2 linked regions of the Caenorhabditis elegans genome follow. The protein of the gene in region 2 interacts with the protein of the main gene of each other region in a pairwise test. Each region holds a gene or a part of one and is shown on either strand. Other genes may lie near its edges.

The links. Proteins that work in one complex are often made in the same cells at the same time.
Region 1: the proteins of prx-14 (region 2) and W04E12.2 interact in a two-hybrid assay, tested with the Caenorhabditis elegans proteins (one large-scale study listed by BioGRID).

What each region holds. Positions count from the first base shown.
Region 1 is NC_003283.11:19,739,394-19,743,149, forward strand, and holds W04E12.2 (Cytochrome b561 domain-containing protein), read right to left. Parts: upstream 1,742-3,756; 5' UTR 1,644-1,741; coding exon 1,463-1,643; intron 884-1,462; coding exon 722-883; intron 669-721; coding exon 412-668; 3' UTR 163-411; downstream 1-162. Other genes in the region: W04E12.3 (uncharacterized protein), read left to right, coding at 2,558-2,578, 2,713-2,919.
Region 2 is NC_003282.8:11,181,126-11,184,881, reverse strand, and holds prx-14 (Peroxisomal membrane protein PEX14), read right to left. Parts: upstream 1,751-3,756; 5' UTR 1,738-1,750; coding exon 1,481-1,737; intron 1,434-1,480; coding exon 1,151-1,433; intron 1,100-1,150; coding exon 863-1,099; 3' UTR 587-862; downstream 1-586. Other genes in the region: nuaf-3 (NADH dehydrogenase [ubiquinone] 1 alpha subcomplex assembly factor 3), read right to left, coding at 481-586; cpt-2 (Calponin-homology (CH) domain-containing protein), read right to left, coding at 2,066-2,149, 2,759-3,125, 3,178-3,598, 3,646-3,722.

The DNA.
Region 1 (3,756 bases), on a different chromosome or scaffold from region 2:
AGTCAAGGAAAAGATGTTCAAAGTTGAGAGGCCATTTCAGTGAAGCGTTTATAAATATTCTTTTTAAAAAACTTATTCACAACGTGATAATTATTCTTGTACATATTGACTCAAAAAGTGTGAGGCGCCGCAAGTGATGTTTTGATAAAGTTGATTCAGTTGTTTCAAGACCTGACAGAACTTCATGATTCAGTATATCAACATTAATTTTAGATTATAAAATAGAGAAAAAAAACTGTAGTATTCAGAAAAACTAGCCAAATCTTTTTTGAATGAACGGGGGGTATTCGAGATATACAAGAATTTCTAACAGCCGTTCGTGTTACCATAATTGGGCCGCACACTGTGTGAAGCTGTTAAAATGTATTTACTAAAACTGGGAATAGAAAACCAATGAATATCAATTATCACTTATTCCATTTTCGCCTTACTTCTTTCCTTTTGAACTTCAGCTGGGATCATCTCAAGTCTGACACCAGTCAATACAATCAAAATGCCGAACAGAAAAGTCACGTGATTACCGTCTCTGACAGTCAAAAATGATCCGATGTAGAACACAAAGATCAGAACTAGAAGTCGGTGAAGTTTGATGTGCTCATGAGATCTTCTCGTCTTTTCAGGAAGCTCAATGCTAGAAATTGTGGCATTTGTCAGATGAACATGGGCGGCTGGAATTCAAATTTTTAAATTATTATTTTAAAAAAATTTAGAAGTTACTTACTGAAGAAAAAAGTCGAAAATGAAACAATCCAAGAATGATGATCACAAATGTATTGATTCGAGCAGAGAAGCGTCAAAAATCCACAGGAAACAAGTGACATACTGTTCAATCTCCAAACTGTGAAATAGTTTTTGGTGGAAATCCAACCAAACGAGAACCATGCTGAAAAATAATCAGTTTAAGCTTATGGCAAATCCCGAGCGAAGGCCTAAGCCTAAGCCTGAGCCTACGATTGAGCCTGAATCTCAACCAAAGCCAAATCCCAAGCCTGGGCCTAAGCCTGGGCCAAAGTAAACCTAAGCCATTTAATTTATGGAATTTTAAAATTTTTCTGAATTTTCAAAAAATTTTACTGAACTGTTCTGCAGCTGTTGGAAGTTCCTGGAGTTTTTCTGAATTTTTCTAATTTTTTTTGGAATTTTTTTTTGGAATTTTTCTGATTTTTCCAAAACTTTCTGGAATCCTCCAAAACTAAAAAAAAATTTTGAATCTTAAAAAATAATTTTTCTAAATTTTTTTCAGATTTTTCAGAATCATCTAGTTGAAAAAAATCCTGATTTTCTAGGCCTAAGCTTAAACCTAAGCTTAAACCTAAGCTTAAGCCGGAGCCGAAGCCTAAGCCAAAGCCTACGCCTGAGTCTTAACCTACACCTACACCCAAGCCAGCGCCCAAGCCTAAGCCTAAACCCAAGCCTAAGCCTACGCTTAAGCCTAAAACTTTCAAAATTAATAAAGACTTACCAACTGTAACAGCCACTGTATTCATCAGAAGAAAATCGAGCTCAAAAACGTCTCTGAGAATAACCATAGAAAGACCGAAAGCTGTCAGAGCCAAGACATTTACAGTCGAGAGCTTACGCACAACTGGATTTCCAAACGCTTCGGCGTTGAGCTTTTCAAAACTTGGCTCAATGAATAGCATTTTGGAAGAAAAAATAGCAATTTGGGTAGGTAGGCTGTTTAGAAAAGGAGAATCAAAAAAAAGTATCGATTCTTGATGGATGCGCTATTTTTCGGGTGGAGGGGGAGGTGTTGTTGTATGCAGGGGCCACCCGAAACGTGGGAAAACTAATCAATAAGTTGACTCTCCTCCTCTTGTGGCGGTGTACGCTGGGCGACAAACGTCAAAGTTGGCAAATTGCCAAAATTGAAAAATTTCGGCAAACTTGCAAACCGGCAATTTGCCGGTTTTCTGATTTACCAGAAAACGGCATGCTTACACCTTCGCCCTGAAATTTCGGAATTTCAAATTTAAAAGTTTAAAAAACAACATATGAATAACCTTACATCTATCTTGAAAAGTCAGTAATTTCTATTAAAATATATAGAGAAAATAGAAAAAAATTTCGAAAAAGCACAGTTTTAAGGGTAACCGTCTTTTGAAAAATCCTTTTAGAAACTTCCAGCAAATTGGCAAACCTCAAATCGGCAAATCGGCAAGTTGCTCGAATTGAAAATTTCCGGCAAGAGAAGTTAGTAAACTTGAGAAGTTAGTAAATTCTATTAAATAGAAAAAACGGGAACAAAATTTTTTTTTTTCAATTTTTTGCAATTTTGCGGTGATCAGGTACTTGAAAGAAAAATCTGAAAATCTAAAACTATTATATCTCATTTTCAGATGTGACGTCATACTCTACTTGCTCAAAAATTCGACATCCACATTGGCTCTTCACTTAAATTGGCTTTTTTTGGGCTTTCTTCAATGAATTCTTTTGTTTTTAAATTGAATTTAATTCTTTTGTTTTACGTGAACATGTTTTCAGTTTAAAACATTTAAAACAAAAAATCGATATTTACAAGTTTTTTCTGATTAGAATTTTCAGAGCTTTGCCTAAAATGAGTGAGCTTCAGGAGAAGGTGATTTTTTTTTCTTGTTTTTTTTTACTGAATTTCACAGAACTTGCCAAAAATTGTCCGAAAACTTGAAATTCACGCTGAAAAAATTGACTGAAAATTTGAATTTACCGCCAAAAATTGATCTAAAATTTCAGGAAGCCCAGTGTAATCCACGCGAAGAAGAGGAAAACGAGTTTTCGGATTTGTCTGAAAATTCTGAAAATCTTCAAAATGACACGGAAATTGTGGAAATGATGACGTCACGGACTTCTAAATTTTGGCTCATTGCTCCGATTTTCATTGCATTCGTCTTGTATTTTGCTCTTTTTGAGCTCAAAATTATTGAATTTTTGGGATTTTAATTTATCGGTTTTTTTTTCTGAATAAATTTTCTGTGTAGTTTGTAGTGTTTGTAGTCTACAGGCCTGCCTACCTGCAGGCAGGCATAGTTTGTGAAGGTTTAGAATAAATATGATAAAATAAAATTTCACGTGAACCCGCAAAAATACCAACAAAAATGATGATTTGAAATTATTTCAATGTTTTCCTGATTTCTAAAGGTGAGTCTTTTTCAGAAGGTTTTCCTCTTTAAAATTCCAAATTTTCAGCTATAAAATGTCTGAAAAAATTTTTACGATGAGGTAGGGTTTCATTCCGCCTAGCGCCGCCCAAAAAATGGCAAATTTCAGAAGGATTTGGACCCGACCCTCCGCGAATTCCGGCTTGACGGGTTGGCTCAGCAGGCGAGAAGGGTGAGCGAAAGGGGGCGGAGACAGGTAGAGTGCACTACAGTTAGGACTTTACGTTAGTTACGTTAGTTAGTTTACGTTAGTTAGGACGCCTACACCGCTGAGGCAGATGGAAATTACAAAAAAGCTCGGGAGCTTTTGAAAAAAGCTGAAAAGTACGAGACTGAGGCGGAGATTATTCACGAGGTATGTCGTCTACAGTAGTCGTTGGGCAGTTTTACAGTACCCCTACACAAACCCAGCGTTCCTACAGTGCCCCTATAGTACCCATACAGTACCCCTCCCCTACAGTACTCCCCCCCCCTTCCGTATCCATACAATAACTCTGCACTTTGCCTACAGTACTAAAAAAGATTTTTCAGGAAGTTGCTCAAACCTGGAAAGCATCCCGAATTTCGCGAGAATTCTCCAATTTTCAACTGATGATCTTAATTTCTTCTCCGGTGCTTT
Region 2 (3,756 bases):
ATTCTTACCGGTCTCGACACGGCAAATTCTTGTTGAGTGCAAGAGGGTGTGCACCTTTAAAGATTACTGTAGTTTCAAACTTTCGTTGATCATCATGATGTTGAATTTTTATCAATTTTTCATAGTTTTTCTATAAAGATATACACATTAATTTATGAAAAACTTAAATTTTACAATAAAAACACATAAATTTTAACAAATCTTGAGAAAACCTACGAAAAATGGAATAAAATTCTTAGAAATGAGAGTGGGAATTTACAGCACTCATTATTTAAAGGAGTGTACTTTTTTGCATTAAAAAAAGTTTTCGTGTCGAGACCGAGTACCGTATAAATAGCTTCGTGACTGCAGGTTTGATGAATTGGAAAAATATCAGAAATCGAGTGTTTACAAATTTTTGCCGAATCCAAAACGGAATAAACGAAAAGTAACGGATGCTAAATAAATACATTTTTTATTAGTCAAAAAACCTAAAATTACCAGTGTCTGCCCGATTCGCATCTCCTCCTCCTATCGTATTTTTTGATGAACTGCTCAGAAATCGACGAGCTGTCTGTGCTCCGAGAGCAATCAACGATTTGTTCATTATGCCTAAATAACAAATGTTTATTTCATGCAACACATTTTTATTCTGATAATTTATATCTGGTTTCTCAACCATTTTGTGAAATGAAACGTTCAGATGTCGATATGATTTTCTTTCGTAATATCACAGATGAAATTAACAATCTTTGGAATGTGGCACATGAAAAATGAAAAGGCACAGTGAATTGATGAGAAATCACAGAAAAAGGGAATGGCTTTCGAGGAGTGCATTAAAAATGATTAATTTAATTATATATTTACATAGATTTCTGAAATTCTATTCAATATTTTCAATATCTGCCAACTCGTCAGCTAATGACGATTCTTTGAAATTGGCTGGAGGAGTTGCATATCCGGAAGCTGCTTCAGAAGTTGTAGTTGTGGTGATTGATGTTGCAGAAGTTGGAGTTGCACTCTGCTGCCATGATGGAATTGATGAAGTAACACTAGGTGTTACGATTGGAGCAAAATTATGTTGACTGAGAAGTAAACTTTTTATCGTGGAAATTCCGCTCTGAAAATTATTGAAATATTAGCATTACAAAAACCATCTTCTAGAATTCACCTCAACCCGATTCAAATCAGCATCTCTGTTAGCAACTGAGTAGAGGGCTCTTGAAATTTCTGATTGTTGTGTTGCAAGCTGTTGTGTTGTTTGCGAAACAGAATCCATTATGAATTTTATTGAATTCTGAAGATCGTCGACTTGTGATTGCAGTTGACGAATTTCCTCTGTTGCTGGATCAGGAATATCGAAGAATCTGGGCAGAACATATGATCGGACGAATCGATATCCAGCATATGAAATCGATCCAAGTACCACAGCTGATTGTGCAAATGATACTATTCTGAAATTTGCGGTGATATTTTGAAATCAATAATTTCATTTACAAACCCATTCTGTTTTGGAGCAATCATCATTTGCGGATGACCTCCTATTGGAATCATATTCTCTGTTCCAATTTGACTTCTCAACTGCTCCGGCGGAATAGATGCTCGTGCTTCCAAGATTTCAGCCTCACTGACTCCTTTTCCTAATAAAAACTGTCGTTGTTCTTCAAATGGAGTCTCTTTAACTTTTGGAGTTAGCATAAACTTTCTTGCTGCTTCTACCATGTCCGGTCGAATCGGGGAACTAGATGGGTCAGTCATTTTCAACCTGAAGCTTTAAAATAAAAGTATAATACATATGGCAATAAATTGAATAATCTAAAAAATGAGTGAAAATCGATAATAAAAGGTTTGAACCGATAACAAAACCATCAATGAATAATCAAATAATCAAACATTGATTTCCCGATTGATAAAAATTTATCACAAAAATTAACATTTACAATGTGAAAGCAAGAATTTTTTGAAACTGAAAATACTCGTTAGGTTAAAATCTGGCAGAAACCGCGAGGAAAAATTACCCTAAAATACAGAAAAATGAATATAAATAAGTAGTTTACACTATAAATACATAAATGTCATCAAACAATTATTTCGGATCGAGAAGGTGACCACGAAGAATGTCCAAACTCTTGTAAAGAGCATTCGAGAAGGCGGCAGCGTCACGTTTCGACTGAAAATTTTATAAAGATAAGATGTTTTCAAATTCTAAGAGATAAGATAATAACCTGAAATTTTCGAGTTTTTTTTGTCAAAAATACGGTACCTGAACAAGATTTTTCTAATCTCAATTTATTGATGTTTAGTTTTATTTCGATTTTTATATAATATCTGATAATATTTATATTCTTAAAAAAGTTTCTTTTTTTTCCATATACTTTTAAAAAACTTCTAAATATTTCTATTTTTTGACTAATTTTTTTTTCAAAAAAAAATTAGACAATTTTTCGGGTATCAACAAGATAGTTTTTTTTATTAAATGCGAAAAGCTGTGCGCCTTTAAAGCTCTTAGGCTTTGGAATTTTAATTGACTTTTTCTTTGTTTCTTACGATGTGTTCAATGTTGCAACATATTGTTGTTTTTATTGGTTTTTTTTTTCAGTTTTTTTGCTTTATTTTTTTTAAATATACATATATTTCTTATCGAAAAAATGATTAAAAAATTCCGAAGCAACGAAAGTTTGGATTTAGCAACAAAAAAAAGGTCGCGTCGAGACCACTACCGTAATTTTGACGCAAAAAGTATAAAATTTAGCGTCTGGGTAATAGAGAAATCACGAACCTTATTGCTCGAAATAACGGCTCCGAGTTTGTTGGGAACAACGTTGTATCCAATACCGAATCCATCTTGCACAACTGGTCCGAATCCTCCGAAGACAATCGTATCCGTTGACAAAGTGCTCGTTGAAAGTACAAAATGACCCATTCTCGTGTATCCTGGATCTTGGAAGAAATCTGGAGTTGGTTGGCTCAATCGTTGAGCTGTGATTTTGAGGCCGAGCAAATGTCGATCATATCCTTGTCCCATTGATGCTTCTTTTACAAGTTGGAAATGTTGTGTGGAGCAATCAGTCAATAGTTGTCGAACATCTTTACGATTTTCTTCAAGAATAGCCAAGGTGGCGGCACGCGTAGCTGATGTTGCCGATATGAAAATTGAGTTTTGAAACTTGATATTTTAATTCTGAGGAATAAGCTTACCTCATGCATTCAGTTCTTCCCTTCAAGAAAGCAGCAGTGGAACATGACTCATACGTTGGAACAAACTCTTTGTACAAAGAATAGAATGCCATTTGAATAGCAAGCTGCATCACAGAATCCGGTGACAATTTAGTTTTCTTGATCAAATCTCTGTTGAGTCCTTCGAATTCCATTGTCGCAAAATCAAGATCAGAATTTGCAGAGACGTGTTTCTTCTGAGCATCACTGATTTTAGATTTGAGAGAATCCGTGAGCTTGAATTCGAGTGCCTGCACATGTGCTGGATTATGAGATTTTGGAGTGTCGTCTGGAGATACAAAATGATTTTTGTTGGTATCCTTGAATGATTCTTCCATTAAACGAAGCACGGCAACTCCATCTCCCCACGAGTGTTCAAAGTTGATTGTGGCTTGACCGTTGGCTAAAATTGAAAAAATATGATTTTTAATAAAGTTCTGTGAAAATTACCATCGATGATAGTCTGGAAGCACTTGTCAAACCAACGATTACGAGCATCATCTCCGATGAGAAGAGATTGGACGAGTCTGAGAATTCAAAACTTTGGTTTGAAAATTATTT